Saccharomyces cerevisiae S288C: one gene and its partners. The protein of the gene in region 1 interacts with the protein of each later gene in a biochemical or structural test. Each region holds a gene or a part of one and is shown in the gene's direction. Other genes may lie near its edges.

Region 1 (4,561 bases):
AATCAAGCAAAGCTGAGGGTACAGGAAGCCGTCTTCTATATTTGGAGTGATAAAACATTAAAATACTCACAGATGGCCAACGATGAAGCTGAAAGTTTTAGGAATACTTGGCTACTATTTCGCTCGTTCCAACAATGGATAACTTTAACACAAACTCTTAAGGAGCAGTCAAGGTTAGCAGATCAGGCCTTTTTGAATAAGATGTTTAGGAAAATTTTAAAGGCACAAGAGCATTGGAAACACTTAGAAACTGTTAACACTGACAACATTAAGAAGATATTTTTACGAACAACATTTCATATATGGAAGCTAAGACATAAAGAAATAAACTACCACGGGTTGGAAAGAAGGATTTTCGAAAGAATAAAACAGAAAGTTATAAACTATGAATACAATAAGAGCATTGCAGAAAAAGTGAGGTCGTTTTCTCTACAAAGAAAATATCTGAATAAATGGGAAAAGAAAAACATTGAAAACGAAGATAAACTTGGGGCACTTTATGAACTGGAGAATAAATTCATCAAACAAAAGTTTTTTCGCAAATTAAACCGGTCATTTCAACATAGTCAACAAGAGGCAATTGCAAAGAGTAAACTAAATCAGACACTTTTGAGGTGCGTTTTTGAGAAGATGTGGCTGAAAAGATTCGAAGACCATCTGCATTTGTATTCAATTGTAAGTCTAAAAGAGGCTAACCTCGTGAAGCGTATTTTTCATTCATGGAAAAAACTTCTATATATTGACCTCAAAGCAAGCGATTATTCGAGGACTAATTTGCTCAAGTCATCATTGCGAAGTTGGAAACTTGAAGTAAAGTTAAAAATATTTGAGCAGAAATGTAAAAAGAGTATTCAAGCAAGCGCGTATCGTACATGGAGGAAAAGAATACAGTATGGGAAAATATCGAGCGAACATGTTAAAACGGCATTTTGTGCAAAATATCTTGGTGTGTGGAAAAGGAGGATGCTACAAATGAATTCTATGAATGACGAAGCATCCAAATTTTACGAAGAGGGTCTCGTAAATGAGTGTCTAGCTATATGGAAAGAACGCCTGATTAAAACTAAGGAATTGGAGGATAGATACAATTTCTTATGTAAGACACATGCAATTTTGACTGTAAAACGGACGCTAATGCATATTGATAATGTTCATTTGCTATATACGAAACTGGCGCCCTCTATGGATAGAGTAAAGCTTTCTAAGGCCTTTTTAAAGTGGCGGAAAGCCACAAGGTTCAAAGTCAGGCATAAGTTAAACGATATTTTACACGTTTATGAAAAGAGTAAAGAGCGCGAACTTCAAAGCCAACTGTTCAACGCTTGGCGAAATAGATTTTGCTTCTACACAGAAGAATGTAACATTCAGGCTATTTCAAAGAGAAACTACCAGCTTGAAAAAATGGTGCTGAAGAAATTTAGAGAAAGACTTTTAGAGATAGTAAAATCAGAAGAATTAGCAGACGAAGTTCGCGAAGAATTTGTGTTAGTCAAGACGTTTTATATTTGGAAAACTCATCTAGACGAAATATTTTATATGAGTACATTATTGGAACAATCGGAAGCTAATAAACAATTCATAATTACATCCAAATTCTTGAAAATGTGGAGTCTTCGATTCCTAAAAATTAAGCGTAATGATGAGACAGTCGAGGTGTTTCGTCATCGGTGGGACAGGGCCACTGTAAGGGGATTGTTATTATTATGGAAAAATCGTTCAGACAGTTCTCCAAAGAGAAGGAAGGACTTCAATCTTAAACATGAACTAAAAACTCCCATAAGATCAGACTCTCAAAACGCCTCAACCATACCAGGCTCAGAAAGAATAAAGCAGCACAGAATGGAAGCGATGAAGTCGCATTATAGCAGGGCAAGAAGAGCCATACCAAGTCCGGTGAAATCTTCCAGTGTTCTTGATTCTACAGCTAAAAAACAGATCAACCTTGAAAGTACGACAGGCTTAAACGGATCTCCGACGCGAGGAAAACCTCTAAGGTATTCTCCTAGGCGTACCACTAGAAACATGCCATCCAAAGTTGACCATATTGATTTTGGCAGAATACCCGCTGTACCTTTTAGCCTAAGCGCCAATTCTCCTAAAATCGATCAAGATATGGATTATATAAGAGAGCATGATAAATCCCCGTTAAGTCGTAAACGTCAATAGATATATATATTATGTACGTATGTATGTGTGCATATGTAGTCGTAACCTTTCTTGCTTCTGAGATGCATACAATTACTAATAATATTCTCCAGGTCTATGAAAACATCACAACATACTATACTTTTCGTGTTCGCGTTGTAAGCTATAATGGAAAATGGACGCCATAACGCATTACTTAACAAACTACAGTTTGTCAATAGAGTTGTCCAGTAGAGTTAAAAGGTCAATTCAACCGGTCTTCAATAAGACATGTCACTGAATGACTTCCTAAGTTCCGTGCTACCTGTCAGTGAACAATTTGAATACTTATCGTTGCAATCTATTCCGTTAGAAACCCATGCTGTCGTAACCCCAAATAAGGACGACAAAAGGGTCCCAAAAAGCACGATCAAGACTCAACACTTCTTTAGTCTATTTCACCAAGGAAAAGTTTTTTTTTCATTAGAAGTGTATGTGTATGTCACGCTTTGGGATGAAGCAGATGCCGAACGGTTAATATTTGTATCAAAGGCAGACACTAATGGTTATTGTAATACGAGGGTAAGCGTTAGAGATATTACAAAAATAATATTAGAATTTATATTATCAATCGACCCGAATTACTATCTTCAAAAAGTAAAACCGGCAATAAGATCATATAAGAAGATATCCCCCGAGCTGATTAGCGCAGCCAGTACGCCAGCAAGAACTTTAAGGATTTTGGCTAGAAGGCTTAAACAGTCAGGCAGCACCGTTTTGAAAGAAATAGAATCTCCACGTTTTCAACAAGATCTTTATCTCTCATTCACCTGTCCTCGTGAGATTTTGACCAAAATTTGTTTATTTACTAGACCTGCATCCCAGTACCTCTTCCCAGATTCTTCAAAAAACAGCAAAAAGCATATACTAAATGGCGAGGAACTAATGAAATGGTGGGGCTTTATTTTGGATAGATTACTAATTGAATGCTTTCAAAATGATACACAAGCAAAATTAAGGATACCGGGCGAAGATCCTGCTCGAGTAAGATCATACCTAAGAGGGATGAAATATCCACTATGGCAAGTGGGTGATATATTTACCTCTAAAGAAAATTCTCTTGCGGTATATAATATTCCATTATTCCCAGACGATCCTAAGGCTAGATTTATACACCAATTGGCAGAGGAAGATCGCCTCCTCAAAGTAAGCTTATCATCCTTCTGGATTGAACTACAAGAGCGTCAAGAGTTCAAATTAAGTGTCACATCATCTGTAATGGGTATTTCGGGATACTCTCTTGCCACTCCATCTTTATTTCCATCTAGTGCCGATGTTATTGTACCGAAGTCAAGGAAGCAGTTTAGGGCAATCAAGAAGTACATTACTGGAGAGGAATACGATACAGAGGAAGGCGCAATAGAAGCTTTCACCAATATTCGTGATTTTCTATTGCTCAGAATGGCAACAAATCTTCAATCTTTAACAGGGAAGAGGGAGCATCGGGAGAGAAATCAGCCGGTTCCTGCAAGCAACATCAACACGTTGGCGATAACAATGCTAAAACCGCGTAAAAAAGCTAAAGCCTTGCCTAAAACTTGATACATATTGATATTTATTATTTAGTACACGTATGTAGCATCGATCTTAGAAAATGCATGTTTGTATTTATTGTTAGTACCTTGATCGCCACCTTTCTAGGTAATGATAGGTCCTCAACTTTTACTACGCGGTGCACGCCTGTAAGGTCGGGCAAAACAAAGTGTGGGAACAATAAATAAGAGGGTAGGATGAAATATTACCTTTACTCTACTGCTCAGGTTGGCCACAATTTGCTAAAGAGTTTATCATTAAGTAGCTACCAGCGAATCTAAATACGACGGATAAAGAATGGCTAGTTTAGAAGATCTTATTCCTACTGTCAACAAGCTGCAGGATGTTATGTACGACTCCGGGATCGATACACTCGATTTGCCCATTTTAGCTGTTGTTGGGTCACAATCCTCCGGGAAATCCTCGATATTGGAAACGTTAGTTGGAAGAGATTTTTTACCTAGGGGTACTGGTATTGTCACAAGAAGACCGTTAGTTCTTCAACTTAATAACATATCTCCAAATTCTCCTCTAATAGAGGAAGATGATAACTCAGTTAATCCACATGATGAAGTTACAAAAATATCAGGATTCGAAGCTGGTACGAAGCCCTTGGAGTATAGGGGCAAGGAAAGAAATCATGCAGATGAGTGGGGGGAATTCCTGCATATACCAGGAAAACGGTTTTATGATTTCGACGATATCAAAAGAGAAATCGAAAACGAAACAGCGAGGATAGCCGGTAAGGATAAGGGCATCAGTAAGATTCCGATTAATTTGAAAGTGTTTTCCCCTCATGTTTTGAATCTAACGCTAGTAGATTTGCCTGGGATTACAAAGGTTC
Region 2 (2,507 bases), on another chromosome or scaffold:
CAGTTTTTTTCAATATTTGGAGAAAAGTGGTGGATTTTGGAAGGAAAGATGGGGGGACGCTCCTGTTCACTCTATTGGATTGTCGCTAACTCTGGATTTGGACGATGTACACTATTTTAGAGACATCGGATATAGACACTCCACAATACAGCATTGTCCACATAATGCCATGGGGAATGAGGAATTCTCCTACTTAGCCAGTGACTCAAAATTCAAACGTAAAAACGCGGCCTACGACGAGGGAAGGGAATTTGGGTGTGGCTGCAGGTGCAGATGTCCCAAGAAAAAGCGTGAAATTGAGGATTCCATGGGTTTCTGCGTAAATATTTGGGTAAATCTGCTTAACCAACAGAGGGGACACGAACGCCACGTCGAAGCACTCAACGGCAATGAAATGGAGGAGCACATAAGGGAAGACTATCTAAGACAGTTCGGAAACTAGTTTCTTTTATTGAGACTTATTTTTAATATATATAGTACATGAAATAATAAAAAACCGAAAAATGCATACATAAGGTTCTATTATATTCCCAATAGAATGATCGTTATTTTATTTTTTGAAAGGCATGAAAATAATTTCAAACACCGATTGTTTAACCACCGATTGTTTAACCACCGAAACCATATAAGGTTCTACCTTGTCTCTTCAAAGCATAAACAACATCCAAAGAAGTAACAGTCTTTCTCTTGGCGTGTTCAGTGTAAGTAACAGAGTCCCTGATGACGGATTCCAAGAAGGATTTCAAGACGGCTCTGACTTCTTCGTAGATCAAACCAGAAATACGCTTGACACCACCTCTTCTAGCTAATCTTCTGATAGCTGGCTTAGTGATACCTTGAATGTTATCTCTTAGAATCTTTCTGTGACGCTTGGCACCACCTTTTCCTAGACCTTTACCACCTTTACCTCTACCGGACATTATTTTATTGTATTGATTGTTGTTTTTGCTACTCTTTTGAACAAGATGTAGGAAAAAAGATAGAGAAAAGAATAAATTAAGCGAAAAAAAAAAAATCTCTTTCACCGCCTCATCCTAATATACTTATATATGATATAACTACATACGCACAAACACGTATGTATCTAGCCGAATAACAACAGCCCAGGCGCGAGTGAACAACATATTAAATTAAACGCCTTCTTGTCAGTTGTTTTGTTCTGGTCTGGTCTGCATTTCGCGCCCGAAAAAGCTTGAGACGCGAAGCTCCCAGAACGTCCTGCCATACAAATGCGAAACTCTCGGTCTAGTACCACTTTCCCGGTGCCAAACGACCACAGTTGTCCGTTCCGAGCACTTCGCATTAAGCGCGTGAAACTATTGGCACGCCCTAAGGGGCTCCTACGGATGGGAGTTGGTCATTTAGCGTTCATTATCGCCCAATGTGACGCACAATCACGGCTATGGCTCGGTGTCAAAACATAGTTTGCGTGATAACAGCGTGTTGTGCTCTCTCGCGTTGCTTCTTGTGACCGCAGTTGTATATAAATAATCTTTTTCTTGTTCTTTTATATAGGACCACTGTTTTGTGACTTCCACTTTGGCCCTTCCAACTGTTCTTCCCCTTTTACTAAAGGATCCAAGCAAACACTCCACAATGGCCAGAACTAAACAAACAGCTAGAAAATCCACTGGTGGTAAAGCCCCAAGAAAACAATTAGCCTCCAAGGCTGCCAGAAAATCCGCCCCATCTACCGGTGGTGTTAAGAAGCCTCACAGATATAAGCCAGGTACTGTTGCCTTGAGAGAAATTAGAAGATTCCAAAAATCTACTGAACTGTTGATCAGAAAGTTACCTTTCCAAAGATTGGTCAGAGAAATCGCTCAAGATTTCAAGACCGACTTGAGATTTCAATCTTCTGCTATCGGTGCTTTGCAAGAATCCGTCGAAGCATACTTAGTCTCTTTGTTTGAAGACACTAATCTGGCTGCTATTCACGCTAAGCGTGTTACTATCCAAAAGAAGGATATCAAATTGGCCAGAAGACTAAGAGGTGAAAGATCATGAATATAAAGCGGGAATTTTTTTTTTTCTATGCATTTAGACTGGGGGGACATCATACAAACATCTCCTTTTTTAATACATTATTCATCTATCTATTCGCAATGCTTTTAACGACATGAGGAGGGTATATATGCTGTAATTTATCGTTTACAGACATAATTGCGGGGCTAATTTTTAGATGCTTAGATAGTATACGTAATTTTATAACCGGCAAGAAACCATGTATAATAATTATCAATAAACATCATTTTCGAAGAGACTAGTTACGTAAAGGTAATCACTGTCTACATATTACCATTGTAGAGGCAACCAGTTGTTTTTACTAGCAATCCTCTTAATTTCGTCATCGTCATACATCTCGATGAACTGCTGATCAAGCGCCCTGGCCTTCGGAAATGCGAAACGTCTGTACTCATCAAAAATCATCGTTAGCGACCAATTTTGTAGTTTTCTTATACAACCAATCAAACACCCCGTTCTATGTTTGCCTCTATTACAATGTA
Region 3 (3,984 bases), on another chromosome or scaffold:
AGTGGAGCCCAGTTGCCGACATCCGAACCAGAAGTACCCCAAATGCACCCATCTTCTGCAGATACACCGGCGTTGTTAATATAGTACTGAGCAGAAGTCTTTTTACCCTGCCATTGATAATAAGTGTCTTCATCAACGACTGAAATTGGTTGTGAATCTCCACCATCAACCACTGTGGGAATCACCATGTTTTCTGATCCTGGGTAATCCGTCCTACATAGAGCAATGGAGTCAGACTTTTTGTTAATGGCCTTAGCAGATGTTTCATCCGTAGAACATAAATCGCTGGTATCAGTGTTGGTACGGTACAAGTAACCATTTTTACAGTAAAGACCACCAACAGATTTACCATCGCTTGGTTGGTCAGAAGGCCATTGAGTCTTTGACATTCCAGGTTCACATGCATAAGAACAGTAGTAGCCATCCTTACATTCGGACGAAGTGTTGGCATCCATGTCCATGACAGAGGCCCATCCACCAAATCCTAGCCAGTCCAAGGAAACTATACCGTTTACAGAAGGGAAGTCCGAACATTTGACAGTACCATCTTGGAATCCGCCATCACGCTTCTGTTCAGAGGTATCCTTCTCAGATGAGGACAATGTAGTGGTAGTAGCAGCAGATTCTACAGTACTAGTAGCGGCATTGGAATCTATGTATTGAGTGACAGTGACAACCGCTGGTTTTTCATCTTTGTGATGATCTTCATGGTGACTGTCCGCTGGAGCAGGTGCAGGGGCAGAAAATGCGACAGAAGAAAGGGAAGACAATATTAAAGCTGCGGAAATTTTCATTATGTGTTAGAGAGAGACGAGTTAAGTATGTGCGACTATACTAGTATTATAATATTAAAGGAAAGTAAGGTACCGTCTATGAGGAGACTGTTAGTTGGATATCAGTAATGAGACGAAAAAGCTCGAAATGAATGGATATATTCTTTTTGCTACTGGCAACTGTTGAATATTTAATGTTAAAACAAACTAACTGAGGTATATTCGTATCTGTATGTACACATATACTATATACAGGAAAAGATAAGCAAGAGAGAGGATATCAACTACGAGAGCGATCGATTATATATCAAAAGCTGTCCGCTTTGCCACCCATAATCGGCGCTTAGTTTCGGAGTTCAATCATAATTCTACCACCTTACACTCAACTTACTCTTTAACTCCTATAGTATAATATCGCCACTGACCCCATATTAAAAAAATTTTTTTGCTCGATCTTCTATCCTCTTTAGGTTAATTGTCGCTGTTATTGTCTAGATTTTTTCTCGGAGATGGCGCATCTATTTGCCGTCAAAAGATCCTCTCATACCATATTAAGTAAATTGCCTCCATTTCTTTTTCCTCGGGCAGAGAAACTCGCAGGCAACTTGCTCTCGAAGTGGTCACGTGCGGGTCTAGGCCTGCATAATCGGCCCTCACAGAGGGATCCCGTTACCCATCTATGCTGAAGATTTATCATACTATTCCTCCGCTCGTTTCTTTTTTCAGTGAGGTGTGTCGTGAAAGAAAACCCACAATTAAACTTTCAACAACCGGGCGACTAGGAAGAGAGTAGTGGGCGCGGATGACGAAGGCTAAGGTCACTTCTTCGTTTCCTTTATTGGGGTTTCCGTGTAGCCTTCCCCTGAATAGTGTGGGACGTTTTATGAGAAGCCGTAAGAAATAGGCAAATTGAGTTATGACAAGTAGACATGATGCCGCAGCCTTGCCTGACTTTACGTCTCCTTCATGAATAAGTTTTTCTATCGAGTTCTTTTCCTTTTTTCGCCTTAATTAGCTCAATTAAGCCTGTCCTCACTACTTTTCTTTTTCTTATCGGCTTTGTGCCACACCTAACCTTCGAATGCTGTTTTATTCCGTTCTTACATGGGATGGTAATGCCTTGGCGAGAATTTCGATTTTCAGGATATTGTCTTGGTGGCGTCTTTTGCTGTTACTATGTGTTTAAGAGAGAGCTGTTCTACAAAGAACTTTTCATTTACGCGTTTTTTCCTTTTTTTTTTTTTCTCATCCTAAACGCGTAAATCTGTTCCCTTTTTCATGTAATGGGCGTACAACCGACGATGGAAAAATGAATCTTGCAATTTTAATACTAACACTTGGAATAACTCCAAACAGGTAAGAGGCTCACAGAATCTCGAAAGTGTAACAGCGTACTCTCCCTACCATCCAATTGAAACATAAGATATAGAAAAGATGTCAATTGTTTCACTGTTAGGCATCAAAGTCTTAAACAACCCGGCAAAGTTCACTGATCCATATGAGTTTGAAATCACTTTTGAATGCTTAGAATCTTTAAAACATGACTTAGAGTGGAAACTAACCTATGTTGGGTCCTCTCGTTCTCTAGACCATGACCAGGAATTGGATTCCATTCTGGTAGGCCCCGTTCCCGTAGGTGTTAATAAATTTGTGTTTTCTGCTGACCCTCCCTCCGCCGAGCTGATTCCTGCGAGTGAATTGGTTAGTGTGACTGTTATTCTATTAAGTTGTTCTTATGACGGGAGAGAGTTTGTTAGGGTCGGTTACTACGTGAATAATGAGTACGATGAAGAAGAGTTAAGAGAAAATCCGCCAGCAAAGGTACAAGTAGATCATATTGTAAGAAATATACTGGCTGAAAAGCCAAGGGTAACAAGGTTTAACATTGTTTGGGATAATGAAAATGAAGGGGATTTATACCCACCTGAACAGCCCGGCGTAGATGATGAAGAGGAGGAGGACGATGAAGAAGAAGATGACGATGAAGATGATGAAGACGACGAAGATGACGATCAAGAAGATGGAGAGGGAGAGGCGGAAGAAGCGGCAGAGGAGGAAGAAGAGGAGGAAGAGAAGACTGAAGACAACGAAACGAATCTTGAAGAAGAGGAGGAAGACATAGAAAATAGTGACGGCGATGAGGAAGAAGGAGAAGAAGAGGTGGGGTCTGTAGACAAGAATGAAGATGGTAATGATAAGAAGAGGAGGAAAATAGAAGGGGGGTCCACGGATATTGAATCCACTCCAAAGGATGCGGCACGTTCAACGAATTAAGAATTTATGGGTTATAAGATTAATGGTACCTGCAAGAGAGGTACACTTTATAAAATGTATAAATAAAAAAATAACAGACATAAGATAAAGTCGGGTTAGGGCAACAGCTACGTAAAAAATAAAAGGCAGTAATATTTTCCATTTAAGTTGATTTTCTTATTATTGTCGTTGAGAACAAAAAGAAATTGGACGAGTCCGGAATCGAACCGGAGACCTCTCCCATGCTAAGGGAGCGCGCTACCGACTACGCCACACGCCCTAATATTATTGATATTGTTGTTTATCAAAGTGAGATACGTCAGTATGACAATACGTCATCCTAAAAGTTCATAAAACACATATGAAACAACTTCATAACAGAACGAACATGTTGGAATAAAAATCCACTATCGTCTATCAACTAATAGTTATATTATCATGTTGGAACGAGAGTAATTAATAGTGACATGAGTTGCTATGGTAACAATCTAATGCTTACATCGTATATTAATGTACAACTCGTATACGTTTAAGTGTGATTGCGCCTATTGCAGAAGGAATGTTAAACGAGAAGCTCAGACAATACTGAAGCTGTGTTAAAGACCTATTAGTTGAACATGTTATGGTAGGTACATATATGAGGAATATGAGTCGTCACATCAATGTATAGTAACTACCGGAATCACTATTATATTGGTCATAATTAATATGACCAATCGGCGTGTGTTTTATATACCTCTCTTATTTAGTATAAGAAGATCAGTACTCACTTCTTCATTAATACTAATTTTTAACCTCTAATTATCAACATGGCGACCCCAGTGAGGGGTGAAACAAGAAATGTTATTGACGACAACATTTCTGCGCGGATTCAATCGAAAGTCAAAACAAATGATACTGTCAGACAGACGCCATCATCATTAAGAAAAGTTTCTATTAAAGATGAACAGGTGAGACA
Region 4 (3,938 bases), on another chromosome or scaffold:
CCAGAATTCCTTCACAGAAAACTATTGAACTACAGAATTCTCCAAAAGATACACTCATAGTGTTAAGACGAATCAATGTCTCGGATTTGGAAGTCCTTTATAGAGATAATTGTAGGGGCCTTTTGTAATGTTTCGGATGTTCTGTTTTAAGTCCGCGGGAGGCCTTTTTATTTTTCGCTTTTTTAGAGATTTCACGAATAAAAGCGTTGCAGAAATGCAACTTCAAAAGAGACTGAAGGAAACACAGATAGAAGAACAGTCTTCAAAGCAATCAATTCGTGTCGGTGCAGCTTAAGAAATGACTTTTATGCAACAGCTTCAAGAGGCTGGGGAAAGATTTAGGTGTATCAATGGTCTTTTATGGGTTGTTTTTGGGCTTGGTGTCTTAAAATGTACAACGTTATCACTTAGATTTTTAGCTCTTATTTTTGATCTTTTTTTACTACCAGCAGTCAATTTCGACAAGTATGGTGCTAAAACTGGTAAATACTGTGCTATCACTGGTGCAAGTGACGGTATTGGTAAAGAATTTGCTAGACAAATGGCGAAACGTGGCTTCAACTTGGTATTGATCTCGAGAACGCAATCTAAATTGGAGGCTTTACAAAAAGAACTAGAAGATCAACATCATGTCGTTGTAAAGATTCTAGCCATTGACATTGCGGAGGATAAAGAATCCAACTATGAATCCATTAAGGAATTGTGTGCGCAGTTACCAATCACCGTTTTGGTCAATAATGTTGGTCAATCACACTCCATTCCTGTTCCATTTTTGGAAACAGAAGAGAAGGAGCTTAGAAATATTATCACTATCAATAACACTGCTACATTATTAATTACACAAATCATTGCACCAAAGATTGTGGAAACTGTGAAAGCTGAAAACAAGAAGTCGGGTACTCGTGGTTTGATCTTAACCATGGGCTCATTTGGTGGTCTGATTCCCACCCCACTTTTGGCTACATACAGTGGTTCGAAATCATTCTTACAAGGTTGGTCTAACTCTTTGGCTGGGGAATTATCTAAAGATGCTATCGATGTTGAATTAATCATTTCATATTTGGTCACTAGCTCGATGTCTAAAATCAGAAGATCATCTTTAATGATCCCAAATCCACAACAGTTTGTAAAATCCACTTTAAGAAGCGTTGGCAGACGCTGCGGCTCTCAAGAAAGATACGCTACTATGACCCCTTACTGGGCGCACGCAGTGTATCAATTTGTAATTACAGAGACCTTTGGCGTTTACTCTAAGATTGTTAACTCCATTAATTATTCCTTCCATAAATCTATCAGAATTAGAGCCTTAAAAAAAGCCGCAAGACAGGTTAAAAAGGAATAGAATTATCGTTCTCGAGATAGTTTTTATACAATACATATATATATATATATATATATATTTACAAGAAAAGCATGGCTTATGTATTATACTTGCTTATGTACCAATATATACATATATGGCCTTATTAGGGCAACAAACGCCAAAAATAAAAACGAACCTAAATGAGAAAAAAAGAGAAAAATTTGGAAAACAACAAGAACTCAAAAAAAAAAATTGGTGGAAGGACCAAGTCCTCTTGAAAGAAAATTTAATACTGCTTTTCCAGAATATCATATTGGAAAAAATATTCAAGCCAGCACATCAGCTACAGTGGAAAATAGCCCAGATCAAATAGAACTATCCTTCGAACATGAGCGGTGAATTAGCAAATTACAAAAGACTTGAGAAAGTCGGTGAAGGTACATACGGTGTTGTTTATAAAGCGTTAGACTTAAGACCTGGCCAAGGTCAAAGAGTAGTCGCATTGAAGAAAATAAGACTAGAGAGTGAAGACGAGGGTGTTCCCAGTACAGCCATCAGAGAAATCTCATTATTGAAGGAATTAAAAGACGATAATATTGTCAGATTATACGATATTGTTCACTCTGATGCACACAAGCTATATCTTGTTTTTGAGTTCCTCGATTTGGACCTGAAAAGATATATGGAGGGTATTCCAAAGGACCAACCGTTAGGAGCTGATATTGTTAAGAAGTTTATGATGCAACTTTGTAAGGGTATTGCATACTGCCACTCACACCGTATTCTGCATCGTGATTTAAAACCGCAGAACTTATTGATTAACAAAGATGGGAATCTAAAACTAGGTGATTTTGGCTTAGCGCGTGCTTTTGGTGTTCCGTTGAGAGCTTACACACATGAAATTGTTACTCTATGGTATAGAGCTCCGGAGGTATTACTGGGTGGAAAACAATATAGTACAGGTGTCGATACATGGTCCATCGGCTGTATATTTGCCGAAATGTGTAACAGGAAACCAATCTTCAGTGGCGATAGTGAGATCGATCAGATTTTCAAGATATTCAGAGTATTGGGAACGCCGAATGAAGCTATATGGCCAGATATTGTCTACTTGCCTGATTTCAAGCCAAGCTTTCCTCAATGGCGCAGAAAAGACCTATCACAAGTGGTACCAAGTCTAGATCCACGCGGTATTGATTTGTTGGACAAACTCCTCGCGTATGACCCTATTAACCGGATTAGCGCCAGAAGAGCAGCCATCCACCCCTACTTCCAAGAATCATAAGCATTATAATCTATTTCGCTATTATATTACAAATGCTACTGCACTGTCATTATAGCCTAGTAAAGTATATAGTGAATACAATATACTCAGTTTCAACATTATGATGGGTAACTCCATCAGAAAATATATTCATCGTCATATACGGAACATTCAGTTATACGCGAAAGTAAAAGTGAGAGCTTTTCAGGGGTTAAAAGCTGGGCGTGTTCCATGACGTATTTACCGAGGTCGTATTATCAAAGAAAATGAAAAAAAAAAAAAAAAAAAAAAAAGCGAAGAGGAAAAAGACAAACGAAAAACAAAACGAAATAACGCATTGTATGCTGGGGCCTCAATTGAACTTCTTTGACTATAAGGAGTTCGCTTGTTTAAAGCCGTTTCGCATCTGACTCGCCCTTGGTTTTTTTCTCTGTTCTTGTTTTTGACCTCCGCAAATTCATTGCTCTTTGAATTTTGAAGAGTTTCATTGTCACCGTTGAATAACCGAGACGGGTATTGTTTTTATTTCCTTCATTATTTACATCGCAACACGATTTTTATTAGCTTCCTCAAGGAGCGCTGACCGTATATAATATAATTTCAACAACCGAACAAGGCAGTGCGAAGCGGTGCACCTTACAACAGTGCTAAAGTAGTTACAGTAAACCAATTAATACGTGATGAAGAAGGAGTTGAAAATTCTTATAATAGCGAACATTGCATTACTTATCTCTATAATACATTACACATTTGATTTGTTGACGTTATGTATAGATGATACTTCCAAAGATGCGCTAACAGATGAACAGCTGAACCCCCCCAATGGCTTCAATTCAACATTCTATGAGTCTCCTCCTCAACTCATACCGAAAATCATTCATCAAACCTACAAAACAAACGATATCCCAGAACAGTGGGTAAAAGGGAGGCAGAAGTGCATTGATTTACATCCGGATTACACTTACATTTTATGGACGGATGAAATGTCTGATACTTTCATTAAACAGGAATACCCGTGGTTTCTTGACACCTTTAGGAGTTATGAATATCCAATTGAGAGGGCGGATGCAATACGGTATTTCATCCTTTCGCATTATGGTGGTATTTACATTGACTTGGATGATGGTTGTGAAAGAAGGCTAGACCCTTTGTTGAAAGTACCAGCATTTCTAAGGAAAACTTCGCCTACAGGAGTGTCAAATGATGTGATGGGCTCTGTTCCAAGGCACCCCTTCTTCTTGAAGGTCATCAAATCGTTGAAACACTATAAGAAAAACTGGTACATTCCATATATGACAATCATGGGCTCTACGGGCCCCTTATTCATTAGTGTGGTTTGGAAGCAATATAAGAGATGGTCTAATACGGCCG

Evidence for each region.
Region 2: of the proteins of RTT109 (region 1) and HHT2, one has a biochemical effect on the other in vitro, tested with the Saccharomyces cerevisiae proteins (9 studies listed by BioGRID, with this or other methods).
Region 3: the proteins of RTT109 (region 1) and ASF1 are reported together in a solved structure, tested with the Saccharomyces cerevisiae proteins (3 studies listed by BioGRID, with this or other methods).
Region 4: of the proteins of RTT109 (region 1) and CDC28, one has a biochemical effect on the other in vitro, tested with the Saccharomyces cerevisiae proteins (2 studies listed by BioGRID).

What each region holds. Positions count from the first base shown.
Region 1 is NC_001144.5:143,876-148,436, forward strand, and holds RTT109 (H3 histone acetyltransferase RTT109), read left to right. Parts: upstream 1-2,415; coding exon 2,416-3,726; downstream 3,727-4,561. Other genes in the region: SFI1 (Sfi1p), read left to right, coding at 1-2,166; dynamin-related GTPase DNM1, read left to right, coding at 4,015-4,561. UniProt on the Saccharomyces cerevisiae protein: Histone chaperone-dependent acetylase that modifies 'Lys-9', 'Lys-14', 'Lys-23', 'Lys-27', and 'Lys-56' on histone H3 (H3K9Ac, H3K14Ac and H3K23Ac, H3K27Ac, and H3K56Ac) to promote nucleosome assembly, genomic stability, DNA repair and transcriptional regulation during mitotic S-phase.
Region 2 is NC_001146.8:575,140-577,646, reverse strand, and holds HHT2 (histone H3), read left to right. Parts: upstream 1-1,596; coding exon 1,597-2,007; downstream 2,008-2,507. Other genes in the region: KTR5 (putative mannosyltransferase), read left to right, coding at 1-442; HHF2 (histone H4), read right to left, coding at 609-920; putative tyrosine protein phosphatase SIW14, read right to left, coding at 2,296-2,507. UniProt on the Saccharomyces cerevisiae protein: Core component of nucleosome. Nucleosomes wrap and compact DNA into chromatin, limiting DNA accessibility to the cellular machineries which require DNA as a template.
Region 3 is NC_001142.9:194,080-198,063, forward strand, and holds ASF1 (nucleosome assembly factor ASF1), read left to right. Parts: upstream 1-2,207; coding exon 2,208-3,047; downstream 3,048-3,984. Other genes in the region: SUN family protein NCA3, read right to left, coding at 1-794; YJL114W (gag protein), read left to right, coding at 3,836-3,984. UniProt on the Saccharomyces cerevisiae protein: Histone chaperone that facilitates histone deposition and histone exchange and removal during nucleosome assembly and disassembly. Facilitates histone deposition through both replication-dependent and replication-independent chromatin assembly pathways.
Region 4 is NC_001134.8:558,387-562,324, forward strand, and holds CDC28 (cyclin-dependent serine/threonine-protein kinase CDC28), read left to right. Parts: upstream 1-1,691; coding exon 1,692-2,588; downstream 2,589-3,938. Other genes in the region: IFA38 (ketoreductase), read left to right, coding at 299-1,342; mannosylinositol phosphorylceramide synthase catalytic subunit CSH1, read left to right, coding at 3,248-3,938. UniProt on the Saccharomyces cerevisiae protein: Cyclin-dependent kinase that acts as a master regulator of the mitotic and meiotic cell cycles. Required to drive the G1-S transition. More than 200 substrates have been identified. Substrate specificity is in part regulated by the bound cyclin protein.